Ovis aries: one gene and its partners. The protein of the gene in region 7 purifies or fractionates together with the protein of the main gene of each other region. This does not show direct contact. Links are inferred from orthologs where the notes say so. Each region holds a gene or a part of one and is shown on either strand. Other genes may lie near its edges. The genes, in order: ARID4B, SUDS3, BRMS1, MTA2, BRMS1L, ING2 and SAP30.

Region 1 (3,955 bases), on a different chromosome or scaffold from region 7:
GAAGAAAACTCAGTCCTGCTTTTCAGTTCCCTAGGTGAGTAGAGTTGGACCATGCACCCTATTTCAGTCAAGCAGATTTGCTCATATTTCAATCATTGTTTCAAACATAAAAATTAATTTCTGAGGGTTCTGAACAAGATGTCATGCAAGAGCTGCCAATGCAGATATAAGGTCTTCCTGAAATAGCTAAAGCTTCCTAAGAAATCGCAACTTTAAAATCCTGCCTACTAAAGGCAAGAAAATGGGATGATTTAAGAAGGAAACAAGAGGTTACCGTGGAAAGGTAGATGAAAATGCAAGAGAGCCAGAAGCCTCATAATTGGCTTGTAGACCTCAAGAAGCTTAAATCCCTTTTAACTTTTAAAGAAAATTTTCTATCATTTTACCAACAATGTTGCCCCTATTAATCTACATGCATAAAATTAAAATCAACTACACAGACTTTAGTTTTCTAGACTAAAGTATTGAAAACAGTAAGTAGGAAGTCACTGAGAGAGGTATTTACAAGTCAAAACTCCATGTTTTTTATATGGTATACTATGACCTCAATTGGAATACTAATAAATCTATAATTCGTTAAATTTTAAAATAGAAAATTACTGTACAAGATTTTTTAGGTAGTAATCACTAGCTAAAACTCAAGTTACCTCACATTCCATCCGCAGTAATGCACCAAGTAAAGGACCTCTCCACCTTCGACATCAGAATCTTTAATACTAGCTTCATACATTTTTTGATTTTTCCCTCGTCCATACCGCACTTGGACTTTCATGCCTGGTGGATAGCACTCAAACTCCTCTTCCTCATTGTTGTCATCATCCTCTTCATCCTCTTCCTCCTCCTCCTCCTCCTCCTCTACTTCTTCATCATCTTCCTCTTCCTCTTTATTCGTTTCATCTCTTGAAAGGTTTAAAAAACTGCAGTTAATAAAAGACACTTCATAAGCTTTTCAGTTCCAAACCACATAAATTGATAAAAATCGTGGCTGTGATTGTTCCGGGAACAGCAGGTTCCAAGCGTATGATATTCTCTGAGTTTCAATTTAATATCAAACACTAAACCTGTATGAGATGGCCATGGATGATTACAGAAAGATATATTCAGAGAAAATGAAAACTGAAAAGTAAGTGTATTGAAAGAAAATGTCCAACAGGCAGAAGAACAGAAGTTGTGCTGAACAGCAAGAAACTAGCTAGTAAGGTCGACGCTAACATTTTCCTCATGTTTTATTGTAGAATTTCTTTACAACTCAGTTAACAAAAACAAAAATCATCGTAACTCATAGCCATTTTCTGACTAAAAAATATTTTTCATTCAAATATTTCCAACCTCCAGATAAAAGTTTAAACAAATTTTTACTAGCCAATGGCTAGTTTTAATAATTAAAATAATTTCAACCAGATTTTCTGAAGTTGTATTAAATGAAATATTGCTTCACCTTTTATAGGAATATCCTACTAAGTTCACATTAAAATCGCATCAAGTTTTTTCTATTCTTCTAAACTTCAACACAATTTCTGCTCTCTTTTCTCCATATTTACCAAAAGTCCTCTTCTACCAATTCTCTCAACTTTGAAGTTCTGAAGAAACAGGCATATGAGAGACCAGTTGCAAATATGAAACTGAAAGTCATTTGCATTCTAGAAGCAGCAACGCAACGATTCTGGTCTTCTCAATATCACGTGCTTTCTAAAACAATCATATTCATTTTATATTGATCACAAATTTGTATTCAATAAATTGGGGGAAAATCTTAAATTATAAATTTTCCATGCACTAGATTTATTTTTAAAAAACTTCAATTATTTACTCTGCAGTATGTCTATCCTTATTACAACAGTTTGCTCTCAAAAAGAATCCATCACTTTATAGCTGACAAATGAATAAATGTCATAAAATAGAACCATAAGACAGCTAAGTAACTAACCCTTAAAAGTTAATGGGCATAGTATGTAGATAAAAAAATCTTCCTCCACTAATAATTTTAGTTTTAAATTCTTTTATGCAAACTTTTTTAGCAATAACATACTTTATCATTCCTAATTATGCAATTATGTAGGCAACAAAAAATAAACTAGAAATACTGTCACAACTAGAACTGTAGGGCTTTTTTATTCCTTCTATACAGTGAGGCAGCAGGGATGAAGGGAAGCTTAATACACTTATGAAATTAAGTCTGAGTTCACAAAAGTACCAAATGAGTCAATTTTCTCTGAAATGCATCACAAAGTCTACAAAGATTCTTAAGAATTACTCCTATTTTAAAGACTTGTTTATAGTCAAATTGGTACTTAAAAATTAAATGAATCCAGCTGTAACCTGAGACAAAAAATATGAATTCTGCTACTGAAAATCTATTAACATTTCTATAATGAAAAAATTGTAAGTAAAGCTGAAATACCTAAGAAATTATCAGAAAGCCTGAAATATCTAAGAAACTATCAGATAAACTATTAACAACTTAACTGATTTATGTATACGTAATAAACATATGTAAAATTAACCAGTAAGGCTTTTTCTGAAAGAATACTACTTGTTTAATCAGAAGATTGTATCATTGCTCATCAGGGAGAAAAGGAAGCATATTCTGGTAGATACAACAAAGACGGATCATACACCAAAGAGATTTATCATGCATCTCAGAATCATTATAGAAAACATAAAAGAGATATAGATGATTAAAAGTTTAAAATGTTTTAAACAAAAACTAACTTGAAACTGTTCATTAAAAAACCATATAGGACTGAGGGCTTCCCTGGTGGCTCAAGGGTAAAGAATCTACCTGCCAAGGCAGGAGACACAGATTCAGTCCCTGGGTTGGGAAAGATCCCCTGGAGGAGGAAACGGCAACCCATTCCAGTATTCTTGCCTGGAGAATCCCATGGACAGAGGAGCCTGGTGGGCTATAGTCCATGGGGTCGCAAAGAGTCAGACACGACTGTGCGATTGAGCACACACGCACACGTAGCACTGAACACAACCGGCAAACACCAATAATAGCTAGCACAATCCTACTTTCAGTGGTAGCCAGGGCAATCTTTTATGTAATCTGGAATAAAAACCTAATACTCTGTATTAATTTTTAAAAGCAATCAAAAATTAAAAATTAGAATTTCTCATTTAATGTCAACCTCAGACACAAATCAAATGAGTCACTCAATAACACACTGAACTACAAAGAGGCAAACAACACAATTACTGGCCATCAGCCGAACCAAATATTCTCCCCCTCCTTCTCTTCTCAGTGGCAAAAATCAGAGGTAGATACATCAAAAAGAACACAGAATGTCAAGAAAGAGAGCCTTTCAAAGTATAAAATGTAGCTGGTATACTAAGCGGATGTATGTATTACACAAAAACATAAACACAACACACACACATTACATGAGTTATCTTTTACATTTTGGGAAACCAAATGTATCCACGAGGACTTTTTCATCTGAACTCACAAATAATCAAATTTCCCAAGTTTGATGTCACATTCCTTACTTACAATGGACCAAAATTAAGACCAAAATAACTATTATAGGTTATTAGTACCTGCTACGGGCCAGGCACTGAACCAAACATTTTACATAAATTCAATTATTTAATCTTACACAACTGAACTACAAAGGAAGGACACTGAAAGTTCTTGTACCAGCTAATTACTTAAGAGAGTTTATATACTAGATAAATATTTATATGTTAATTCTTCACAATCACAAAATTTTCTGTTGTACTGATCTAATAAAATCCAGAGATCAGTTGGATATTTCTAACCCATAAATTTTCTACAGCAGCCATATCAGGAAAATTTGTTTGTGGTATGATACATTTATAAATATCTGCAGTAAATAAAAAGCCATAGGAATTTTCCTGGTTGTCCAGCGGTTAAGAATCTACCTTGCAGTACGGGCAACGCAGGTTCAATCCCTGGTCAGGGAACTGAGACCCCACATGCCACGGGGCGGAG
Region 2 (3,955 bases), on a different chromosome or scaffold from region 7:
CGCCTGTTTTCCAATGGGTTATTTGGTTTGAGTTTCTCATCGGACCCACACTCCATTTTGTTTTTCAAGAGATCTTCATGTTGAACCAGAAAAGGAAATTTTAAGAAGCATCTTTTCTGGGCAGAGCTAGGCAGCACTGATACTGGGCATCAATCCACAGAGGTAAAATCAGTCACTCAGCAAGAGGAAGGCAGCGGGCCTTTAAGCCGACACCATGGCAGCACCATCTGTGGAAACGCTCGTTACCCTTCTAGCTCCAGTGCCTTCCCTTCAGATAGTCCATCATTACCTTGGCAGCGCTTTCCATGCCAAGGGTACCAAACGGCTTGAGGAAGGACATCAGTACCTTTAATGCCCATGGCAGGCTGTAAGCACTCCTGTAGTCTATTTTACTGCGTCATAAATGATTTCCCTGCATTTATTTGTCTTTTCTACCCTGGCAGGCTCGGCCTCTTAAGTCACTGAGGATGTCTCCTGTCCCTGTTAAAATTCCGGCTGTAAAACAGCCTGGCTCACCAATGACTATTGCCTGTCAATATTTAGGATGCCAAATCACAGGTGAGGGGCTGACAGCCTTCCCCACAGATGGAAAGGGAGAGGCTGTAAACTGACAATGTTTCCCACTCGCCTAATGAAGGCTCCGAGCATCTGGTGGCTCTAGCGGGGATCGATGAGGCGTCAATGCCACCGGAGCCACATTGGAGAAGAGGGTGTGCAGGTCAGAATACAGCCACGCAGACTGGGACCGGACAAGGCGCCACTGCGCTCTCAGTTTAATCAAAAAAGCGCCTCAACAAGAACAAGACGGTGCTGTTCTGAAGATGCTGTTTTATATAGCATTCATTCTCACCAGGACATATTTCTGAGTTGCAGTCAGTGGTCTTCAAGAAATTCATTCCTTTTGCCAAGTCTTTCAAAAAGGAAGGTATCAGAAGAGAGATTTTTCAAGAGCCAGACCCCTACTTTAGACACAACCACATATCACTGGTGTGTCGTGGGGACTGGCGCTAGAAGTCCATGTCAGGGGGAGGGCCAGGTGGGCTAACAGCACCAGAAATACCAAAGGGGAAATAAAGCTCTAAACTGTTACTTCTAGCTTCAAAGTCAGCCCCGAGGACTTACATAAAACAAGGTCCTTCTGGAGCATTCAACAAAAATGAGACATGCCAGAGCCCCAGGACCTTCTGAACATGATTATAAGAGTAAATCTGGGGCTGCGCAGAAGGCATGCCATTTACAAATCCAAGTGACAAACTCACCACTGACGTGCCTTCAGTATTTGCTGGTGGAAATTTTGCCAAGTTCCAAAACAGCTAGTTCAAGCCAATTCCCATCCTGTATCCTTCTCAGAGTCATTGGTCTACATATGGCAACAGAAAAAGCAGCCCATATTGCTTCTCCCTCAAACCTGCCGAGTTCCCATATGCAGACGACTGAATCCTAGAAGGCCAGGGAGTGACTGGCTCCAAGTCTAACGTAACTTTACTAGCTTCACAGGAGAACAACTCAGTTTAGCTACCCCTGCTGAAATGTTCACAGTAACACCTGGGGTGAAGCAACAGCATAGATGATATAGCCAAAGCCTCTGTTCTCACAGTCAGGTCAAAGTTAAGACAATGCTTTTTCCATAACAAAGGTAGACCCCCCCCACCAAAAAAAAAAAAAAACAGAGGGATTTCCACCAGCAGAGCGGAACTTGGGCGAGTAATTCGTGAAGATAAGCAAGACTGGAATGACAGCTGACCCAGGAATTTTGTTAAATAAAGCAGAAGCCCGATGCTGCAGTCACTGATAAAGGTCTACCATTTAATTTACCAACACCTGTTATGTACAGGGTCCTGTACTAGGCACTCATATTTCTAATCAGTTTTGTGGAATAAGGTATGATCAGCCTCATTTTATAGAGGGGAAAATAGGCTCAGAGAGGTTAAGTGGCTTGACTAAAGTCACACAGCCAATACAAAACAGAGCTATAACTATGACCTGCCATGTCAAAGACTGTCCCCTCACCCCTCTTTCAGCTCACTCTGCTCTGATGATGAGGAACTGACAGGAGTCAGCACTGGAGTGCCTTCCTCCCTCAAAGACCCCCTCAAATTTCCCTGGATCCTGTTCTGTGGTGCTTTCATACCTCCAGTCAGTTCCATCGTTAGCTTTTCATTTTCAATCATTTTCTTCTTTTCCTCTAGCTCAGCAATTAAGTTCTCTTTCAACTCAACCTTCTTGTCTTCAAATTCTTTCACTGCCGCCTTCTTTTCTTTGATGTAATTTCTTTCCACTTGTTCCGTCTAAGCAAAAGAGAAACATAGATTGTGGCTATATAACCCTGGGAGCCAGGGTCTGAACACAAAGCCTTGTTCTGTGCGTAAGCACCAAGAAAATACCTTTTCTAGAAATAAGAGAGACAGCAGCAGTCACACACCAACGAGCAGTAACAGGGTGTCTAGGAGCAAGCTTCCCAATGCATGCATGAAACTGAACCACATAACTTCTGGTTTTTATGTGAATCCCTCACTTGTAATCAGGTATTTCCCTCTCTTCCACATCTTATACTTTGGGGCTTGTATGTGGAAACAAAACCTAAGTTTCTCAAAAACAGTAAACAAACCCTTTTGAAGATACAACTTCGAAGGAAAATAGTATATTCCAGATGAAATACCTATATTCAAGATGAGTTATAAGATACCAAGACAGCCTGAGTTGCCCTATTTTTTGATGCGTACAGTAAGGTTAGATCCAGCAGTAAGATAAAGACCAACAAGAGGACAAGATCACTTATTAGGTGCCTGAACCCAGAGAGACACTCAAACAGTGAAATTATACTAAGTAAAAAAAAAAATGCATAAGCATCCATTTTCCAAATCTCATCATTTCCTGAAGTGAAGAACAAGGGGACTCCTGGTGGGTATGGCTATGGGTCGTGTGACCCTCTGGGCCATGACTATGCGTGTTTGTGCTGACTTCAGTCTCCAATAACGTAGCTGTGAGAAACCATGACCACTCCCCCACCCTCCCGCTTCGCCACACACACACTGGCCCCTTAGGAGCCAGCACATCACCCAAGATTTGGCCCTCATCACTGCCTGTAGGTCTGCACCTCACATGGAACCAGCACTCAGGCATCTGCTCAGTCAAAGATCTTAATCAGTCTTTCCCTCCCATCCGGAGTTTCAAAAGGATGAAACTGAGCTGATTCAGAGACCTGGCTGCTTTGAGGACCAATATAACCAACTATTAGGCCATTATAATTCAGTGCGTGCATGTGCGCTAATTTGCTTCAGCCAGGTCCGACTCTTTATGACCCCATGGACCACAGCCCAGCAGGCTTCTCTGTCCATGGGATTCTCCAGGCAAGAATACTAAAGTGGGTTGCCATGCCCTCCTCCAGGGGATCTTCCTGACCCAGGGATCAAATGTGCATCTCTTATATGTCTTCTGCACCGGCAAGTGAGTTTTTTACCATGTACCCCCAAACGGCTGTAATGTGAGATGAGAGTCAACAAGAAAGCAGTGAGGGGTGAGTATCCATCTGTCAAGCCCCTGGGATAAGCACAGGCTGCCCCACCAACAAACAGAATTTCTGAGCTGAGACCAAATGTCCTTTAGTCAAACAGAACCCTAGTTGAGGCTTCCAGCGGGCCTCTGCGAACCCAGCAGCTATGTCTATGTGGTGATGAAGGAAAGGCCACTGGGTTGGGAGAGCAAGATCCCACCCTGACAAAGATCCTGCAAGCCCAGAAGACCCGTGGTACTTACTTCCAGCTGGAGGAAGAGCTCTGAAAGAGAGAAAACATGCAATTAGATTCGCGAAGCTGTACCACCTTTCTAGAGAGTGACGTTAGGATTCATTTAGAAGCAGTAATTGCTTTCTGAGAGCACCGTTACACAGAGCACATGTTTCCATCAGTAAAGTGTGGCTACATGAAGAGGCAGGACTAGTTAAAATCTGGCCCTG
Region 3 (4,736 bases), on a different chromosome or scaffold from region 7:
GTAAAAGCCAATCCCGGCCCTACAAACGTTTTTGTTTAACTTTGTATTTGCAAATCCTCCAGTCATCAAATGAGTCGGTACAAATGGGTGAATAAAGCACATGTGCAGCCCTGCCCTGGTGAGGCTTACTGGCTGGTTGGAGAGACAGATGTGAGAATGGGCAAATAGACATGCAAATAAGTCAGGAAGGGTGACTGCACAGAGCTAAAGGACTACAAAGAAGCCCAGAGAAGGTATCACAGTGAAACAGAAGCCCCCAATAGGCAAAGAGATGATCTGCTGAGAAGACTGTTTATTCTTCCTCTTGGGTGATCTTTTGGCCGCACTTGGCACTGTCACTTCTTCATTCTGAAATTCTCTCTCCCCAGCTTTGAGTTTTCCCTCCTCCATCTCTTGCTAATTTTCTTCCTTTTTGGAGGGGTCTCATCGTCTGCCCCTTCGGTAACCCTGGAGTTCCATCATGAGCCCCTTCTCACTCCACACATTCTGCCTTGCTGGTGGCACACTCTCCCAAGGTCTGAAGAACTCACTCAATGTGATGACCAGATCTCTGCAGCCCAGATTTCTCTCTGAGGCTTAGACCCATGTGTCCCCACCCCTGCCCCTTCTCTCCTTTCAGGGTCTTTTTCATGCCACTCACTCTCCTTAGAATGCTTTCTCTTCCTCAGCCAGCTCAGCTCATGGGTTTGGCCCTTCATCCTCTGCAAGCCCTCACTGCTGCAGCAAGCTCCAGGTTTCATTTAGCTGCCTCTCCCATATGCTCTTGGTCTTAACTCTTCTGCTTCCTGGCCTCTCTCTCCCAGGAACTTGTCAACTCCTTGAGATCAGAAAACTGTCTGCCGCACTTGAGCCAAGCTCCTACCATAGTGTCTGATGGTACCTAGCATATGTTAGATTTTTCAATAAAGATTAAATCAGTGAGTAAAAAGATGTTTAACACTGTTCTTTGTTGCTGAGAAGTCAAGATAGAGACCAAAAAATATTGGCATCGGGTACAAGGAGGTCATCTATTAACTCTACAGGATCAGTTTCAGCTGAGAGCAATGATATGGAAACAGATTGGAACAAGTGGAAGGTGAAAGAGTAGGAAGAGCATGTGTTTACAAGACCTTGCAAAGATGGGAAATGGGGGCCGTGATTGAGTGGAGTGGGATGAAGTTTTGTGTTTCTGCTTTTTCTGCATGTTGGGAAATACCTAAACATGTCTAAAGTTTCCTAAGAGCTGCCAAGAGGGAAAATTGAGCATGCAGAAGAGAGAGTGGAGTACTGATGACTTGGGGTCTTAGAGGAGGCAGAAGGAGGTAGGATTTGAGCATAGCGAGAGGACCCGAGCATTGTAGGGTGGGAAGAGAAGTGGAGGGCTTTATAGGCAGAAGAACAGCACAGTGGGCAGCAGGGGCTGGGGAGGAAGTGCGTGGTGTATTTGAGAACTGGCCATTAGATGTGGGGTGAAGGAGCTGGACAGCGGTTCAAGTCCAGTGTGCAGGGCCTCGAAAGCCTGGGTCAGAATTTTGGCCCAGTCCCGTAGGCAGTGGAGAGCCCATCTTGGCCTTTCCCATCTTACAGATCATCACCTTGGCCAATATTACGGGGATTGTGATCACCAACAATGTCCAAGGGGATGGGCATTTCTGTGGCTCCTAGATTTCTGGGAGATGTGTAGATGGTTCCATTTGTACCTGCCCCACCCTGCATGTCCCTAGGGCCCAGCGAGTCCAGTCCATTCCCTCCCCTGCTTGTCCCCATCCACAGCGAGGCTTGATTTGACTCCCCAAGTGACCACTTTGCCACTCGGAGCTGGGGACAGGGGCGAGTGATGGCTCCACTGCTCCTCCCAGCGCCCAGATGCCCGTCCAGCCTCCAAGCAAGGACACAGAGGAGATGGAAGCAGAGGGCGACTCAGCTGCCGAGATGAATGGGGAGGAGGAGGAGAGCGAGGAGGAACGGAGCGGCAGCCAGACCGAGTCCGAGGAGGAGAGCTCAGGTGAGCCCCACACGCCCTCGAGCGCCCTGCCTGCCCCCGCAGCCGGCCCTGACTGGCCTCTTGTCCCAGAGATGGACGAGGAGGACTACGAGCGGCGCCGCAGCGAGTGCGTCAGTGAGATGATGGACCTGGAGAAGCAGTTCTCGGAGCTGAAGGAGAAGTGAGCGAGGGGCCCGGGGCTCGGGGCCCGGCTTCCAGGAGGCAGCGGAGGGCCTGGCGCCAGCCAGGGCCGGTGTGAGCAAGGGCCTGACCCGGGGCGCTGGGCACGTGTTTAGCAGATGGGCACACGGGCGCACGGCTGCCTTTCGCCTCCCAGGTTGTTCAGGGAACGACTGAGTCAGCTGCGGGTGCGGCTGGAGGAAGTGGGAGCTGAAAGGGCACCCGAATACACGGAGCCCCTGGGGGGGCTGCAGCGGAGCCTCAAGATTCGCATTCAGGTGGCAGGTCTGTGGCCCGTCCTGTGCCCCGTCCCCTTATGAGAACCCACGGCTCTCTGTCCCCTTCCCCTCTCACCCGTGCCCTGCCTCACCCGCCTTTGTGGGCAGCCAGGGCCCTGGCCAGGCCCGGCCGCCCATCGCCCTCCCTCCGCAGGGATTTACAAGGGCTTCTGTCTGGACGTGATCAGGAACAAGTATGAGTGTGAGCTGCAGGGAGCCAAGCAGCACCTGGAGGTGAATGTGGGTGCGCCGGGTGGGGAGGAGGTGGCCGCCCCGCCCCACCCCGCCCCGCCCAGCTGAGCCGCTGCGCCTCTTGCAGAGTGAGAAGCTGCTGCTGTACGACACGCTGCAGGGCGAGCTGCAGGAGCGGATCCAGAGGCTGGAGGAGGACCGCCAGAGCCTGGACATCAACTCTGGTGAGGCCAGCGGCCAGCCGGCACCCCTGTGCTTCCAGCGCCCGTTCCCTGTCTGGGCCTTGCCTTCCCCGCTTGCATGGGGGTGGGTGTAGGAGGGCCTGCTCCGTGCTCACCGTGGGGACTGACGGAAAGCAGGCGGGGAAGGGCCCAGCCCGGTGCCTGGTGCACAGTGGCAGCTTGGGGGTGCCCTCCCTCCGTGCTGGTCCCAGAATGGAGGCATCATTCTGACACACGTGCCCCTGCCATGGCCACAGTGTGCCCATTCACACAGGGCACTGGGGAGGGAGGGACTAATGATCTCACACCCCCATCCATGAAACAGATGAGGAGACTGAGGTTAGCAGAAGCACAGTGACCTCTTTCCCAGGATTGAACTCAGCTTCCAAGCCCAGGCTTCTCTGCACTGCCCTGGGGAGGTTGATGGGGATGGGCTGGCCTGGCCCACGTGAGGGACACAGGCTTCAGGGGTGGGGCGTCCTGGGAGGACGGCACCCTGATGCTGACTCTGGTCTGGGGCGCAGAGTGGTGGGATGACAAACTGCATGCCAGAGGCAGCTCGAAGACATGGGACTCCCTGCCACCCAACAAGAGGAAGAAGGCGCCTCTCGTTTCCGGTATCCTTCCCCATACAGTGGCCTGAACTGGGCAGGAGGTCAGGGTGGAGGCACATGGGGGACAGAGGCAGACCAGACTCACTTAAGGTCATCTGGCCTCCTGTGGCCGTGTCCAGGCAGATCAGCTGTTGAATTTTCTGCAGGGTCCTCCTGGCCTGTGTGGACCATGGAAAAATAGAAGCATTCATCCAGAGATTTCCCCATAGTTTTCTGAGTGAGGTCTCCTCTGAGGCCCTTCTGGCTTTCTCACAGTGTCTTGGGCATGTCCCAGGCTCTCCCACCCCCATGCCTTTGCTGACTTTACACTCCCCTCTTGGATGCCTTTACCTGTCTGCCTGCTCGGTGCCCATCAATTGTCACCTCCTCTGTGAAGCCTCTCCTGGTTTCCCCGACAATGGCTGTGGCTTCCCTCTCCTCTGCACCCCTTTACCTGAACGGGGGCACCTGCCTCCCTTCTGGACATAGTCACCTCTGCCGCCCCCCAGGTGTGAGCCCCTCTTGTTCAGGGCCTGCTGTGCCGGCCTCCCCCCCTCGCATAGCCCAGCACGGAGTTGAATTGAATTCTCAGGTATACACACCCCTCCATATTTCTGCCGCAGTCAGATTATCAGGAAGTTGACCTCCTGGTGATGGGGATCATGTTCAAGCAGGGAGGGAAGGATCTGGACTGCAGAGGCTTGAGCGGGGGTGGGAGGTGAGGGTGTGGAGACGTCAGCGGGCAGAGTGGCCAGTCCCCAGACGGGCGGGTGAGACCGATGGAGGGTGGTTTTCAGGACAGAAGAGATAGATGACAGTCTGCGTGTAGGTGGGGCCAGTTGAGGGAACAGGGGGCGAGATCCCTGAGTGGGTGGCCTGGGCCTGGGCCTTCTGACCTTGAGGCCTGAGAGGAGGTGAGGAGGGAGCCAAGGGGCTGAACGCCCTCTGTGGACTGGGTGAAACTGAAATAGGCCGCAGCCACGCACTCCACCCTGCTAAGAACCCAGGAGCCACGAGGTCGGAGGTGGAGCCTGAGTGCTGCCCCAGGTGCTCGGCTCCCCAACCCGCCATCCACGGCACCGCCGCCTCTGAGTGCTGGCACCTCCCACCCCCTGGGCTGGGGGCCCGGTCCCATCCCCTGCCCCCTCCCCACGTCTCCTGTTTCCTTGACCCCCATCTCAGGCCCTTACATCGTGTACATGCTGCAGGAGATCGACATCCTGGAGGACTGGACAGCCATCAAAAAGGTGGGTCTAGCGCTGCCTGCCACAGGGTGGGGGCTGGCGGTGCAGCACCCCCTCCCCAATCA
Region 4 (3,521 bases), on a different chromosome or scaffold from region 7:
AACCCTTTCCACTAAGGTTTCAGGGCAAGTTGCAGCTCCTTGGGGAATAAGGTGTTGGCACTGGCTTGAGAGGTACTGTCCTTGAGAGCCCCCAAAACAAACTATTATTAGCAAGTAGAAAACAAGAGAGTAAGGGTTGCATGTGATGTTTAAGAGCAGAGTCTCCTGAAATTTGCAGAACTGGTAAACACAATTTTGTTTGATGCTTTTATTTATTTATTTATCGTCACTGAATTTCTGGACCCCAGGTTAGTTTAGCAAGAAAGAGACAAGTGCAATATTCTTGCTGGGCCTGGTGTGGGCAGATTTGTGCCATATGAGTGGTATCTGAGCATTGGCACCTGGGTTTGCCATGTGTTTCTGTGGCAGCCTTTGTACTCTCAGCGTGTGTATGTACAGTTGTGTCTGACTCTGTGACCCCATGAACATAGCTTGCCCGCTTCTCTGTCCACGGGATTTCCCAAGCAAGACTACTGGGAGCAGGTTGCCATTTCTTTCTCCAGGGTATCTTCCCCTCCCAGGGATCCAAGCCCATCTCCTGCATTGATTGGCAGGCAGATTCTTTACCCATGAGCCACCTGGGAAGCCCTTGTACCCTGAGCAGCTCTTCCCTAAAAGCCCTCATTAGTGATGAAGAGTTGGGAGCACCTGTGATGGCGACAGGGGCGGGCTAAGAGGTAAGGGTGGTGTGGTGAGGATATGGAAGGCAGGTCCTTGAGGAATGTGAGGAAAACATAAAATATTTTCCCTGGGTTAGAGTTTTTAAGGTGGCTTCTTTCTGAATTAGTTTCTGACTTGCTTTCTTCCTCCTAAATCTCCCAGGGGAGTTTGAGGAGGAATCGAAGCAGCCAGGGGTGTCAGAACAGCAGCGACATCAACTGAAGCACCGAGAACTTTTTCTTTCTCGGCAATTCGAATCATTGCCAGCCACCCACATAAGGTATGGGGCAGTCAGAGCCACTGTGGCTTGCATGCACTTATTTAGAAGGTGGAGAGGAGGGGCTAGTGTGCGGGAGATGCCGCACGGAGGAAATGAGCTCACCCAGGGTTTTCTGACCTCTCTCCTGTAGGGGGAAATGCAGTGTGACCCTCTTGAATGAGACAGATATCCTGAGCCAGTACCTGGAAAAGGAGGTGAGAAAGAAGTGTTGGGAGAAGAGGGAGGGAAGTGGGTATTGCCCCGAAAGGCAGGAAGAAAGTCTGACTGGGATCAGGTACAGGTTGACAGTCTGCCTGTCTTGGGAACTCCAGATAACCCCTGTGTCCCCTGCCTATGAGGACTGCTGCCCAGCTTACTTTCTCTCTTTCTGTCTCCAGGACTGCTTTTTTTACTCACTGGTGTTTGACCCTATGCAGAAGACACTTCTAGCTGATCAGGGAGAGATCCGAGTTGGTTGCAAATACCAAGCTGAGATCCCAGATCGCCTGGCAGAGGGTACGCAGCAGGAGAGACTGGGTTATGACCACTGGGATATCTTAAGATCAAAGTCTCTGAGTGGTGGGCCTTGGCTTTGTGTGGTGCACAGTCTGCGTGGCTCTGTGTTAATGACCCGGCTAGACTGGGACCTTAGGAACCTGAAGGGGGCAGATGGGCACACTGGGAAGAGAAGTCTGAGAGTTAAGGTGGCTAATAGAATCCAAGGAGGAGATGAGGTGTTCCTGTGTCAAGGCACCTATTTTTCTCCTGGATGATAACCATTTTTCCACTCCCCAGGAGAATCTGATAATCGGAACCAACAGAAGATGGAGATGAAAGTCTGGGATCCAGACAACCCTCTCACAGACCGGCAGATTGATCAGTTTCTCGTGGTGGCCCGGTGAGGGGTGGGTGGATGGGGAAGATGGGCTGTGGGCGGTGTGGACATAGTTCTGAGTCATGTTCTTAAGAGATGGACTTTTAATTATTTTTGGCCTGGGTGTTGTCCTCCGCCCCCGCTCCCCCCTCCCCCCCAACCCACCTCATCTGGCTTGATTCCTCAGCCCACTCGAACTTTCTTTCCCTGACTTCTCACTCTCTCCTTTAGAGCTGTGGGGACCTTCGCAAGAGCCCTAGATTGCAGCAGCTCCATTCGGCAGCCAAGCCTGCACATGAGTGCAGCCGCTGCCTCCCGAGATATCACCCTGGTGAGCAAAAGTTGGTGGGTAGTTGGGTAGGCTGTGTTTTGCAGGGACCTGCAGAGCCTCGGGACTCTGCAGGGAGGAGGTTATCTCTGAGGTGGGGGGAGTACTTAAAGAGCAGCAGGGGAGTGGTGCTGAGAGTTTCAGGTCATCAGCATCGCTTCCCACCTTTCCTGTAGTTTCACGCAATGGATACGTTGCAGAGGAATGGCTATGACCTGGCTAAGGCCATGTCGACCCTGGTGCCCCAGGGCGGGCCCGTGTTGTGTCGGGATGAGATGGAGGAATGGTCAGCCTCAGAGGCCATGCTGTTTGAAGAGGCCCTGGAGAAGTATGGGAAGGATTTCAATGATATTCGCCAGGACTTTGTAAGTGGCTGGAGCTAGGAGAGGTGGAAGAGGTGGCAGATGAGGGAACGAGGCTCTGGGACCAGATCCCAGCTCACCCTTCTCTCCGTCTCTTCAGCTACCCTGGAAGTCACTGGCCAGCATAGTTCAGTTTTATTACATGTGGAAAACCACAGACCGATACATTCAACAGGTAAGATCTGGGCTGGGGAGGCTGGACCAGAGGACCCCTGCTCACCTCTGCTTTTGAAGTTGATGACACCACTCATCACCCCCCGCTGAGATGCTCTGATCCTTTTTCCTTTTTCTCCTTCCCGCAGAAAAGATTGAAAGCTGCTGAAGCAGACAGCAAACTAAAACAAGTCTACATCCCTACCTAGTAAGTATGATGGGTAAGGGTGTGTTTCTTCTCTCCGCCCCTAACCTGTGCTTTCCTAAGTGATGGGGGTGCACAGGAGACAGGGGCAAATTATGGGGACAAAGTGGAAGTCTTGACCAGTTCCTGGTTTCTCTCCCATCAGCACCAAACCAAACCCTAACCAGATAATCTCTGTGGGCTCAAAACCTGGCATGAATGGGGCTGGATTCCAAAAGGGCCTGACTTGTGAGAGTTGCCACAGTGAGTTCCAGAGAGGGATAAGGGCTGCTGGGGGTGAGTGGGGTGTTTGCCTCAGAGGCTCAAGTGGCATTTACCTCCTGACTGTTCCCTCCGCTCATGCTCCCACAGCCACACAGTCTGCCCAGTGGTACGCCTGGGGCCCACCCAACATGCAGTGCCGCCTCTGTGCTTCCTGTTGGATCTACTGGAAGAAGTACGGGGGACTGAAGACCCCAACTCAGCTTGAGGGGGCTGCTCGGGGCACCACAGTAAGGATGGATGAGGAGCAGTTGGGGAGAGCAGTAAGCTAATTGATGTGAGCTTTAGGCGAAGGCCAGGACACCCAGCTCCAGTAAGGTGATGGCTTGACTGTGGGTGGCGGGGGTGGGACTTGGTAGTGGTTGGGGAGCCAGGTGGTCAGGACAGCAACAAAGAAATCAGGCGGGAATAAATCCTCT
Region 5 (3,955 bases), on a different chromosome or scaffold from region 7:
GAATCCCTACAGTCAATGAGGAAAAGACTAAAAGCTCAACATAAAGGCAAAAGATAGGTACAGGTACTTCTTAGAAAAGAAAATGTTTCATCTCAGTTATAACCAAGAAAATGACACAAGCTCCATCATTTTTATATCTATCTACTCTCAGTATTTTAATAGTTTATAAAGATATGGTACATTAAGATAAGAATCATCACAGAGCTTGTTCTTATTTTCCCTAGTTATTTATGATCTTGTCTAGGCCTTATGAAAAGTAATCTGCAAAATCAACACTATGTTTTCCAATGCTATTAAAAATAAACAGAACATAGAGAATCCATTTTTCCCCCATAGAGAATTTTGCCCTAAGATGTGGAGACAGATCAAAAAATTGAGAAGTTAATATAACTACCGGATATACATTTTTTGAGTCTTTAACATTATACTAATTATACTACTTTTGGTGATGCCAGATGACATAATTATTACAAAGTCTTTTTAAGGTGACAGCTGCAAAACTTCTAAAATTATATCACTTAGTTCTTTTGTATGATTCTTTGTGTCCCATTTCCAATATAGCTTCCAATGAAACTGTATTAAAAAAAATTGCATAAGTGGGCTGAGCTAAAGTACTATTCAATTTTGTTTCATTTACTTTTTTAACTGCTGCACTCAGAAGAAGACTTGAAGAATTGAAATCAGCTTAAAAGTTAAACAAAATAACAGTACCTCACAATGCTGGCGAGAAGCTTGAATTTCACATTCATATTTGTTCTTTACAGATTCTAAGCAGAGCTCTCTATAGATTCCTGCAACCAAACACAATTACTCTGATTATGTTAGCAATAAGGAGTTTCATTATCACTTCCCTGTAAGAATTCTGTCCTATTTTATAAAATGGATCAAGAAGAAATTGGTGGGTCTAACTTTACCTTTATAAACTAGAAATAACAAGGCTCAGTCAAAATATACATCAAAGAAGACTACAAAACTAAGAGCTAGAGAGAAACTACACCGCGAATTTTAGTTCTTAGCCATTTTTCTAAAAAATATTTCCAAATGCTTGTTAGAGAATGATTAAAACAAAAATAAAACTCTTCACCTATGAAAAACAATGTCTCAGGATTCATAAGGGAAACAGTAAAAAAAAAAACTCTGGTTTCTCAATCATATATACTCAAACTAACAACTGGATACCATAACCATCGAAACAAAATAGAGTCCGAAGCTTCCAAGACTCAATGTATAAACTAATATAAGAAAATTTATAAAATAACATGATGTTTGAGTGCTCCTGACAGAGCTTTACCTAGAGGATAGATGTTCAAGTTTAACTTAGAGGTACCGAGACCACTGCATAAAATAGGCACCCTTAAAAAAACACAGAAAGTAGGCCATGCAAATACGCCATCACAAAAATGGCAAAGAGGTCTAGATGTACATACTTAACTCTATGCCATAGCTGCCTCTAGAACTGTAATACTTTTTCTTGTACAGTAAAGGCAAGGAACAGATATCTGGAACTATGCCGTCAGCAACACAATCACACACACTACTCTTTGTACAATCAAAAAGTACAGGAGGCCACCTCGTAGCGAAGTGAATAACTGACTCAAGTAATATTTTCAAAACTTAAGGAAGTCTCACTTAGTTCTTTTCAAATGTCAAAGAAAAGTAAGGACATGTTTACTTTTAAGGATGTGCTAAGTCAATATGCAAAAATAGTAGATTAAGCATAACATTATCTATATACTTAATGTTAAGCACTCAAGACTAAAATTCGGTTTAAGGAGGATTCAGTATAAGAAGAACCTATTATCAACAATGCCGTAGGTATTATTAATATGTAACAGGTGTATGAGGATCAATTATTGTTCCCCAAAAAGAAAACAATCAGCATCTTCAGTAAATTTCAGTTTTTAGTTTGACGATGAAAAATCATTAAATGATCTTCAAATAGATATATCCTTTGTTAGGCATGGTAGGACACAATTCCGAGGCCAGATCCCAGTTACAAACAGAAGACTGAAATTTAACCATACAAATAAAATACACCTCCATTTATTCATAATCACAAATGCACCATCAAACTTTCCAAAATAAAAACTCATAGCTGAACTACAGGTTTGAAGGCTAATTCCCTGTTCTGTAACATCCTGATCAAAATTTTTTAAATGTTTTTATAAATAAGAACTCTTTATCACTCTTAAAGATGAAAAATACTAAGAGGACTTAAATTGAACATTAATAGAAAAATAAACTACGGTGTTAACAGTATGTCTTAATGAAAATATCCTGGTTTCTAACTGTTTCACATGTGGAAATATCTTTTCAACAACACTGTGAGCAATTTGAGGGCTTTTTTTTTTTTTAACGCTCCACAGCAGCAGAGAAAAGCAGGAGGCATTTAATAAATTAAAATAACTGTGGGCTGACTGATAGTATAATATTCTGTTCAACGTAGATACATTTGTACTTCTATTAACAACAACCACCTTTTAAATCTATTGAAGAATTCATATTCTACTATATGGAAAAGATGTTTCACTTTCCTACCTGCTACCTTTGTACGAATTTGCATATTTTCTTGTAAAGTTGCCAGTGGTTCCAAATATTCTGGTGCTTTTCCAGCTATGACTTCTTGTAGTTTTGCATCCACCTGACTTAATCGTTCTTTATAAAGTCTTAACAAAGCAAAAATTAAGATATTAATTTTAAAGGCCCAGCAAAGGCTAACAATTTATCATTTCTATACATTATCTCTTAATATCATTCATATTCTAATAGCCTACCGAATATATTTTTTCCTTGATCTCAGGTGACAAGAACACAGTTACGTCATTTGACTTTTATGCAAATAATCACAAAGAAATGTTTTTCTATTTTTTAGACATATCACTTTTTAATGGTTAATTTACAAATCAAAAAAATACAACCAAAATAACTACCTCTGGACACTGTAGGTGTTTTTCACTGCAGAATAAATCAATTCTAAGAGAAAAGGTCAAATAAACACTGAGTTTAAAAGGAACAAATTATTTTGAGTAATTTAGATACAGGCATTATTAGCTGTCAAAAATAAATAATTCCCTGCCTCCCCTCCAAATCTCTTGAAAAGGAGTCAGTTTAAAAATATTCAGCCTACTTAATTTTTAAGAGAACCAAGAAGAAGCAGAGTGATGAAGGTAAAACCAAAGCCTAGGGAACTTAAGACCTGGCATACCCAGCTCATCTAGACTGCGAATGAAGAAGCTATAACAACATGAGTTGCTTGGCAGATGGGGAAGTGAAAAGTGGGGCAAAGAATCCCCGTTGCTCTTTTTATGAGTCTACATGCAAACAGGCCTAATGTAACAGCTTGCACATCAATACCTTCAGCTTGATTATCAAAGATGGTATGTGAGGCAACCCAATGTTTATTTTTACCAATAGTCCTGCAGGATAGAACTTTTTTAACAAGAAAATGTTGAAACTGTCATTCTTTATGAGAAGCACTTCTAACCCTGGTTTTGTAGCATTTCAAAGATATCCTAAAATCTCAAAGCAGATTTAAGATCATCATGTAAAAAAAATTTTTGCCATTTATTACTGCATCATAGGTGACTATGTCATAATACATCACAAGGATGGCATATAGTAACTCCCAGAAGAAACCACTGATTATGCTTATAGTTGTTTGTATAAATAGCAGTTGACTATTGAAAACATGATGATACTTGGCATTCATGTAACATTCCACTCTCTCCTCTTGAAAATACCAACTAATACAACTAAGACAACTAATATTGTCTATTATTGATCATTATATTTAGCATAGTGATTTATATAATGATTTTAAAGGAATAAAGCAAGTTTGAATGTTCATACTAGTTAATAACTAGTTAATATTCTTTTTTTAAAACCAGAAAGGAAAAATTATCTGAATCAACTTCCAGAATAATACACTATCATGTCTGGGTTAAACTTTTCTAAA
Region 6 (4,405 bases), on a different chromosome or scaffold from region 7:
AGCTAATAGAAAACTGAAAGTTAAGCTTAGGAAGCATGCTCATAGAGTAACAACTAGATCACTGTTTTTGTATTACTTTTGAAATGAACTATAGTCTTAAGGGAGCTACAACTTTTTATAATCTCTCAGTCTTTCAAGGCCCAATAATGTTTCTCATGTTGTCAAATCTACTTCTGTCAATTCTAGATGGTCAAGACTGCATAGTTCCTGGAACAAATTATGGCTGGCCAATTCAAATTAAAGTATCTTAACTTTTGTGAACTCACACAGGTCTTTAAAGAAATGTAAAAGCATGCAAGTTTTACAAACTTCAGAGTTATCATTTGAAAAACTAAAAAGGTTCCACATGCAACTCTTAAGCACACATGTAATATTTTTAGGTTACAATTCAGGTATGTGCTTCCACGTCTATAGAAAACACCTTTGGAGAGCATTAAAAAAAAAAAAAAAAAGATTTAAATACTTTAAAAACGACCATGTCACCTGAAGAAGCCCTGCTGTGGAGTCAAATATTCCCCACTTAATTGGACAAGTTACTTAAACTTCTTGTAAATTTAAATTTGTCTGCAAAATGAATTTTTACTTCATTGAGCTGTGAAGATTAAATGGGATAATGTTCTGAACGCAGTGCAGCAACTGACAACCAGTAATCTGTATTAATCACTCCCCCGACCCCAACAAAGACCAGTCCTGTCAATATGGATTCAAAAGGCAGAAATAAACTGCCTTTAAACTGTTTTTTAATAGGTTAAAAAACAAGACACAGAGACAACTAAATATTCTATCAGGCTGCAGGCCCCAAAATACCACCCCAGAAATGCGTTAAGACACTAAATTGTAGGATTTGCGACAGGTCAAAAAACTGAGAATGGGTCCAAGAAGTTATCTTTTTAAAGTTCAGAGGGCTGATTCCACATCAGGTCCAAGGTCTGTTGCTTGATTCGGGACTATTAACCGCAAACGGTTCCCCATTTAAGTTAACTCCTCCCCTTGCAGTTGCAGGCGAAAAGGGTCACCAATGATAAATAACAAATAACACGCTCCGTAATAAAGGTCGATTCTCTGTCCTAGCGGTCTGGGTCTGACCACAAAGGGCGGCTTTTGCCACAGCATTTAAACTCGGCGGAGGAGGGACCCAGGGGTTGAGGGACGCCAGGCGGTTGCCCAGTCAACCAGCTCACACCCTTCGGGGACCCGGAAGTGACGCAGGGCCCGGAACCTACGCGGTGCCGGGATCGGCGACGGTCCCCGAAGCTGACTGTTTCTCTGTCGTGATTTGAGTGACTGGGGGGGGGGAAAGTAGAAAATTCACAGACAAACGTGTCCCGAATCCCAACGTTGACTGCGCCGAGGGCGAGCTTACGTCCTGCACTGCCGCCCGAGCCTTCCCGCGACCAGCCATTTCCCGGACGGGCGGGAGCGCGCGCGCCCGTGCCCCGCCCACACCCTACGTCACCTCTGCAAGCCCCGCCCCCAGGCGGCGGGGGGGTAGGGAGCCTGCTCACCCCACACTCAGACACTCACATACACACACCCCTCGGCTCCCCCGCGGGGAGCCCCTAGCCTTTCAACCATTCGGCTGTAGCAGCCGGGAAAGGCTGCGGCCCGGAACTTTCCCTGGGGTGGGAGACTGGGGAAGACTCGATTCCCGAGCCCAGAGCCCCGGAGCGCCGGGGGAGGGACCTCCCCAGAGGCCACCTTCGCAGTCCGCCCTCGCCCCCTCCCCCCTAGCACGTTCCAGTGCATCTGCGCTCAGGGGGTGGGGGCCTGAGGCGGGCTGGGCTGAAGGAAGCCCGGCCCTGTGGGCCTGCGGGAGTCCGGCCGCGGCCGGACGCTCACTCCCCACGGCAAGCCCCCCCTCCACCGCCCTGCTGCACGCTCCCCGAGCCGGGGCGCCGAGGGGTCTGCGGTACACGGCGGGCGAACACCCGGAACAAATGAGCTTGCTGCTTAAAAATGGCTGATTTCGTCTTCACAGCGGCTGCAGTCGCTGGGTCTGCAGCGGGGGCTGACGAGCGGCCACCTCTCCCTTCCACCCTCAAGACCCCCCCCAAGAAGTCCGCAGCGGGGGAAGGGGGAGGGCCGCGAACCCCACCTGCGGGGGCCCGCTGCCCCGGGTCCCACACACCAGACCCCACACACACACTGTGTACACTCGGGGTGAGCTGGAAAAGTGGCACTTTCCCTGGGGCAGGCTCCGAGCGACCGTGCCCGGGCCCCGAGTCGGGTGGGAGGACCCGCGGTCCCTACCTTGATATTTGTTGTCCAGCTCCCGCAGCACGGACACGTTCCTCTGCATGTCGTGGGGCAGCGACTCCACACACTCGAGGTAGTCCTGCACGTAGCAGGTGAGGAGCCGGCTCCGCTCGCCGGTCAGGAGCGCGGCCGACGAGTAGAGTTGCTGCTGCTGCTGCTGCTGCTGCCCTAACATCCTGCCGCTGCTGCCGCTGCCGCTGCCGCCGCCGCCGCCGCCGCCTCCTCCGCATCCAGCAGCCACACATGCAACAGCCACGGCCGCCGCGGCTCCTCGGCTCGGCAGCCCGGCGCCGCGGGGACACCGGCCGCCGCTCGGGAGGGCACTGCCGAGTCCCCCAATCTCCGGTCCCTCCCCCCCGCAAAGAAGCCCTCACTCCCCGCCCCCGCCGTAACAAGCCCAGGGGCGGGGCGAGATCGCGGCACCCTCCTTCCCCCCTCCCTTTCCAGGACTAGAGCAGCGGGGACCCCCCCCCCACCCCCGAACTCCCCTAGCGGAGCTGGCGCCGGGGTCCCGAGCGTTGACACTTCCGGTCCCCCCGGGAGGCCCCAGATGCTACCAGTGCCGCCCCGTAACTCGGATCCCCATGACAAGCCTCTCGCTGCCCGCTTTTCCCCCAATCACCCTCCCGCGCCTGCCGGAGAGTCTCTCGCTGGGCTGCCCCCGCCCCTCCGGCTGCGGCCGCCTCTGCGCCTGCGCAGGGCTCCCTCCTGAGGAGGCCCGGGGGCCCGCCCCTACCGCCCTACCGCAGGGTTCGCATTCTCCCGCCTTCCCTCCGCCACCCGGGCGATTGGTCTGTCAACTCTCGGCCCGGGCGGGGGGAGGGTGCGGAGGGCGGCCAAACGGCAGGCTGCGCCCCGCCTCCTCTTAAAGGGGCAGCGCGGCCCGGCCCGCCTCTCCGCTAAGTGTCTGAATGGGACTGAAGCGCGAAGGAAGGCGACTGCCTTCCTTCCGCCCTTCCCTCACGGAGGGGGAAGCTGGGTCCCGCTCTCTCGGCCCGGTGTTACCGACTTTCCGCCCCGCCCCGCGCCCATCAGGTGGGGCCTAGCGCTGCCCCTGGAGAGCCTCAGAAAGCGGCAGCGGGCGGCCGCTTCCCGCCGCGACCCTGAGGGAGGCCTGCGGGGACGACGCGGCGGGCGCGGCTCTCGGGCATGCGCGGCGGCGGTGGCGGTGTGCCCGCCGGGCCGGCGCCGCGCTCGGGCCCCGTCCTCCTCCCGCCGCGGCCTTCAGGCTCCCGGCGCACAGGGGGCCGATCGCGGAGGTAGTCGGTGGCGCCCCCGCGGCCCCCTGCGTCTCTTTCTGCCTTGGGCCGCCCGCCTTTGGGATCTTCCCTCTCGGCTTAGGCCAGCGCCCGCCCTTCCGCCCTTGCGGGGGGTCTCCCGCTGCCCCAGGACCTGCAGGTTTGGTCCGCCCTCCGACTTTTGTAGACTCGCGTTTATTTTAGGCAGACTCTGCCCTGTACCTGTTTGTCCAACAGACAACGTTTTTTTAAAAAAAAAAAAAAACATGTTTTGCCCCCGGGGATCAGAACGTTTAAACTTGAAACATTGGCGGTGACGGCTTCCTGACGGCGATAGGGGCACGGTCAGTTAACATCTTCGACCTAAAACAAAACCACTGTGGGCCCGGCTTGAAGGGATGATGGAGACGCCAGGATAAACCTCAAGAGGAGTCAGGCACTTACCCTCGTCTTACGTGATCGGCTCTCACGGCGTAAATTTCTGTCTGGTGTTAAATAAAATGCCCAGCAGAGGAGTTGATTTGAATTCCATATTGACTCGGTGTATATAACAGCGTGTATTTTTTCAAAGAAATGGGTGTAAAGAGAACAAATACATGGGGAACTTTAACAGTTGCCTGTGTAAACAAGCACTGTTGTGAGCAGTACCTCTGCGTTAAAAAGAAAACCTGAATGGGCGATAAACTTGAATTTCTCCTTATATGCAGTTGGTTCGCAGTGGTGGGCCACCTGTCTGGTGACCTGTTTAGAGCCCTTTTGAATAGTACATAACCACTGACATGCAAAGAACAATCTAGACCTTGATCTAGAGGATATTTTAAATTTCAAACCGAAAAAAAAAAGCACTCTTGGAAATTTGAGTCTTGGGAACAAGATAACATGGCTCAGGACTCAGAGACTTGTGTGTTTTG
Region 7 (3,258 bases):
GACTTTGAGATATCCTGAGCTGCATTAATGGGCTCATCCATTTCCATCCTAAAATCTGCACTACATGTTTTGTTTTGATGTCACAAGCTATAAATTTGATTTGTAACTATTTAGCCTTTGGCTAAATATTACAATCTCATGAAAAGTAGAGGTAAAAATATTTAAGAGAAAACTGACAGAGAATGAAATATAAAACTAAATAAAACAGAAATCAAGTCAGAGCTATGTATGACCAAAATTTAAAGATCTTGATAAATTCTCGATCTCTCCAACTTATTAGTTTTAATTTGCATTGTAAACAGTACAGAACATGACTGAAAATTAAAGTGCAGCGCAGACGTTCTTTCTATATTTGTGCCATATAAATACTTTTTCACTAAAACAAAATTTAAAGAAATGACAAACTATTTAATTCTACATTCAGATTTCAACTTTCAGCACTACATTTACCTTTGCTGACACATTAACTCTTCTTTGGAAGGAAGTAGGCTTCAAACTATTTGTTCTTCCTGCTATTTTGAACTTGTTAGTACTAAAAAATACTTAAAAAATAATACTATTTAGGATATCCTTAATTCCAAATGAGATTGCCCCAGAGAGAGCAAATGGGTGACATCTATTACTTTGGTTAGTTTCTCAGAACTAAAAAAAGGGAAAAAAGGTAATAAAGTGATCTTCAAATTAAAATTTCAATTAATACTGGTCCCTAAAAGTCAGTTTAAAATAAAAATCAAGTTCCACAAAATAAATACACTGAAGCAACTATAATAGTAATAACCTTTATTTAAAATATTTTTTAATCTAGGAAAGCTCATTGTACATGAGTTTCCAACTAATTAGAGTCAAAACAAAGAAAAGAAAACCAGAGAAAATCCTCTGTAGAAAAAATACACAAGGAACATTTCTACAAGTGAAAAAGCAGTAAGCAGTCTTAACATCTGAACATCCAAGTTTTAATTCCATCTCTCCTAGTGAACACTACTATCAACCTTGAGATCTGACTTGTTCTTGTCATTCTTCACTGAGTAGATGAAATATGTTAAGGTGTCTTTTTCATTCACTGGAATAGACCTAAAGTGGCAACCAACTATCTATAAAGAAAAAAAATTGAGGAAATTAAATTATAGATATTAATAGAGTTTATAAACTAGGTTAAAAAAAAAACAGTCATCAAAAGAAAAAATGTGGTAAGCGCTATTTCCTTTCAAAAAATAAACTGTATTTAACAAAATACCAACAGGACAAAAAGCATATAAGAATAAGATGTTATGAACAAGAGATAGTGTAATTTCAAAAGACCCCTTAGCCCACTCAATTAAGTATGTATTAATCAGAATGTGTACTTCACTTTATTTCTTTTAAATTTTATAGCTGAGATGTAGATCAAGAATTAAATACTTTTACTTGTAAACTTCAAATATCAATGAAATAGAATATAAGAGTCCACATGCATTATATAATGGTTTATGGTTTTTCTTATGGAAAAAGAACAACCATTAAGTCGGAAAAGTTTTGGTACGATAGAAACAAACCAAGAATGATCTTACAAATATGTTTGCTATGACTTAACATTCATTCATTCATTGGAAATATTCTTTGTTAAAATTCCCTGAAATTTTTTCTGTATAAAAATTATGGATGAGAAATGAGAAGGGAAAGGATGTCCACTGAAGAATGTTTACCTGCCTTCTTGCCTTTTCATTCTGCTAATGTAACACATGCACGGCAACTACCAGTAGAAGTATATTAGACTAAACTGGGGCACTGAAACGCATATTTAGATTCTAGAAGATAAAACTTCTTAAAGAAAAAGATACGAGACTTACACAGGCTGGTCACTCAACTCTGGAATTGTTTATAAATATCTGCATTTCTGACTAAGTTATAACACTCATACTATTTGGATTTCTCATTTCTAAATAAGAAAACATATCTTTAAAAGAAGATCAGATTATCAAAAACATCAGGTTTGATTTCTGCATTTAAAAAAATATACATTTAAATATAACATTTAAAATAACCAATTCTTAGGTTGTCATTTGTCCCAAAATAAAAGCACCTTCACTATGTATCTGTTTATCTATCAATATATTAATAATTTCATCATGGCAGGAGATATGTTTATGTTATATTAATGTACTATAAAACTTGAAAAGGACTTGACCTTTTAAATCAAATTTAAAGAAAAATTAGATTGTTGTTGTCTAAGCAAGAAGGAAAGAAGAAATTCTGGCTAAAGCTTTAATGTTAAAAAGCATTCTGCCAAAGTGTACCTTCCATTCACCTATGTTATTCAATATGGACATTTTATAAAATGTTGGTTTTCTAAATTCAAGCTGAAGAATATGAGAAAACTGATTTACATATTTATTTAAGTATGTCAAGTAGGTTAAGCATTTTTATTTTAAACATGATAGAAGTATAAACATATAAATCTATAGATATCTTAATATGACACACACATTTCTTGGCTCTATTATTTCCTGAGAACACAAGCACTCAACTTTTCAAAATTCACTGAAGGACTGCAAGTCCTATATTCAAGAACCTATAAGTAAAAGCTTGGATAAAAGTCTTTGCGTTTTTTAGTCATAAAAACAGGGATGCTTCACATAAACAAACTAACACCAACAAGAACAAATTCTGAAATAGTTAAATCAGCAAGTTACAGGAATACTGTTTAGAGGTTTATCTGTAAAATCTATTCCAACAAAAACCAAGAAAATTCTAACAAAGACATCAAAGCTTATTAATTTATTATTATGCCTCAATTAGGTGCTCAATAAGTGTTTACTGAGTAAAATAAAATTTTAAAAGAAACAGGTTTCTAGAGAGAGAATACAAAAAAACTTTTACTTACTATTTTTGAAAGTCAGTATTAGAAGATGCTTAGAAAACTGCATATAATCTAATGAGTAATCATTATATAAAGGAATTTCCTAAGTGATAGACAAACATTTCTAGGCAACTAGATTCTTCCACATTAGATTTTATTAACTTTGATTTTTCTAACTAAAATGTATTGTTATATATACTAAATTAACATCATTAGTATTTAATGACTTTTTTTGCATTAAAGGTTAAATAGTTTAAAACTTATATATACCTCAACAAGCTGTGCTTTATTAAGCCCGGGTCTGGTTGGGAGTTTGAAGTGTCTTTTGTATCTCCTAAGCGTATTCACCTGTAGTTGGTATAAATCAACCTAGAAAAAAATTAACGTATATGAATTAGTTCATATCATTTGCTAATGACTAA

What was found.
Region 1: the proteins of SAP30 (region 7) and ARID4B purify together in Homo sapiens (affinity purification with mass spectrometry; 5 studies listed by BioGRID and IntAct, with this or other methods). This does not show direct contact. The link is inferred for Ovis aries from reciprocal best matches to the Homo sapiens genes SAP30 and ARID4B.
Region 2: the proteins of SAP30 (region 7) and SUDS3 purify together in Homo sapiens (affinity purification with mass spectrometry; 4 studies listed by BioGRID and IntAct, with this or other methods). This does not show direct contact. The link is inferred for Ovis aries from reciprocal best matches to the Homo sapiens genes SAP30 and SUDS3.
Region 3: the proteins of SAP30 (region 7) and BRMS1 purify together in Homo sapiens (affinity purification with mass spectrometry; 3 studies listed by BioGRID and IntAct, with this or other methods). This does not show direct contact. The link is inferred for Ovis aries from reciprocal best matches to the Homo sapiens genes SAP30 and BRMS1.
Region 4: the proteins of SAP30 (region 7) and MTA2 purify together in Homo sapiens (affinity purification with mass spectrometry; 3 studies listed by BioGRID, with this or other methods). This does not show direct contact. The link is inferred for Ovis aries from reciprocal best matches to the Homo sapiens genes SAP30 and MTA2.
Region 5: the proteins of SAP30 (region 7) and BRMS1L purify together in Homo sapiens (affinity purification with mass spectrometry; 4 studies listed by BioGRID and IntAct, with this or other methods). This does not show direct contact. The link is inferred for Ovis aries from reciprocal best matches to the Homo sapiens genes SAP30 and BRMS1L.
Region 6: the proteins of SAP30 (region 7) and ING2 purify together in Homo sapiens (affinity purification with mass spectrometry; 3 studies listed by BioGRID and IntAct, counting the BioPlex papers as one, with this or other methods). This does not show direct contact. The link is inferred for Ovis aries from reciprocal best matches to the Homo sapiens genes SAP30 and ING2.

The regions. Positions count from the first base shown.
Region 1 is NC_056078.1:7,336,950-7,340,904, forward strand, and holds part of ARID4B (AT-rich interactive domain-containing protein 4B), read right to left. Parts: intron 918-3,955; coding exon 648-917; intron 1-647. UniProt on the Homo sapiens protein: Acts as a transcriptional repressor. May function in the assembly and/or enzymatic activity of the Sin3A corepressor complex or in mediating interactions between the complex and other regulatory complexes.
Region 2 is NC_056070.1:56,884,872-56,888,826, forward strand, and holds part of SUDS3 (sin3 histone deacetylase corepressor complex component SDS3), read right to left. Parts: intron 3,777-3,955; coding exon 3,757-3,776; intron 2,289-3,756; coding exon 2,132-2,288; intron 1-2,131.
Region 3 is NC_056074.1:40,819,771-40,824,506, reverse strand, and holds the start of BRMS1 (breast cancer metastasis-suppressor 1), read left to right. Parts: upstream 1-1,845; coding exon 1,846-1,984; intron 1,985-2,053; coding exon 2,054-2,144; intron 2,145-2,300; coding exon 2,301-2,428; intron 2,429-2,575; coding exon 2,576-2,655; intron 2,656-2,740; coding exon 2,741-2,837; intron 2,838-3,358; coding exon 3,359-3,451; intron 3,452-4,609; coding exon 4,610-4,674; intron 4,675-4,736. UniProt on the Homo sapiens protein: Transcriptional repressor. Down-regulates transcription activation by NF-kappa-B by promoting the deacetylation of RELA at 'Lys-310'. Promotes HDAC1 binding to promoter regions.
Region 4 is NC_056074.1:37,477,364-37,480,884, reverse strand, and holds part of MTA2 (metastasis-associated protein MTA2), read left to right. Parts: intron 1-822; coding exon 823-940; intron 941-1,070; coding exon 1,071-1,134; intron 1,135-1,317; coding exon 1,318-1,435; intron 1,436-1,714; coding exon 1,715-1,817; intron 1,818-2,024; coding exon 2,025-2,124; intron 2,125-2,297; coding exon 2,298-2,486; intron 2,487-2,583; coding exon 2,584-2,658; intron 2,659-2,785; coding exon 2,786-2,844; intron 2,845-2,986; coding exon 2,987-3,084; intron 3,085-3,192; coding exon 3,193-3,332; intron 3,333-3,521. UniProt on the Homo sapiens protein: May function as a transcriptional coregulator. Acts as a component of the histone deacetylase NuRD complex which participates in the remodeling of chromatin.
Region 5 is NC_056071.1:43,755,617-43,759,571, reverse strand, and holds part of BRMS1L (breast cancer metastasis-suppressor 1-like protein), read right to left. Parts: intron 2,974-3,955; coding exon of another isoform or gene 2,931-2,973; intron 2,667-2,930; coding exon 2,539-2,666; intron 792-2,538; coding exon 712-791; intron 1-711. UniProt on the Homo sapiens protein: Involved in the histone deacetylase (HDAC1)-dependent transcriptional repression activity. When overexpressed in lung cancer cell line that lacks p53/TP53 expression, inhibits cell growth.
Region 6 is NC_056079.1:13,497,551-13,501,955, reverse strand, and holds the start of ING2 (inhibitor of growth protein 2), read right to left. Parts: upstream 2,906-4,405; 5' UTR 2,432-2,905; coding exon 2,251-2,431; intron 1-2,250. UniProt on the Homo sapiens protein: Seems to be involved in p53/TP53 activation and p53/TP53-dependent apoptotic pathways, probably by enhancing acetylation of p53/TP53. Component of a mSin3A-like corepressor complex, which is probably involved in deacetylation of nucleosomal histones.
Region 7 is NC_056055.1:107,369,676-107,372,933, forward strand, and holds the end of SAP30 (histone deacetylase complex subunit SAP30), read right to left. Parts: intron 3,206-3,258; coding exon 3,107-3,205; intron 1,092-3,106; coding exon 969-1,091; 3' UTR 766-968; downstream 1-765. UniProt on the Homo sapiens protein: Involved in the functional recruitment of the Sin3-histone deacetylase complex (HDAC) to a specific subset of N-CoR corepressor complexes. Capable of transcription repression by N-CoR.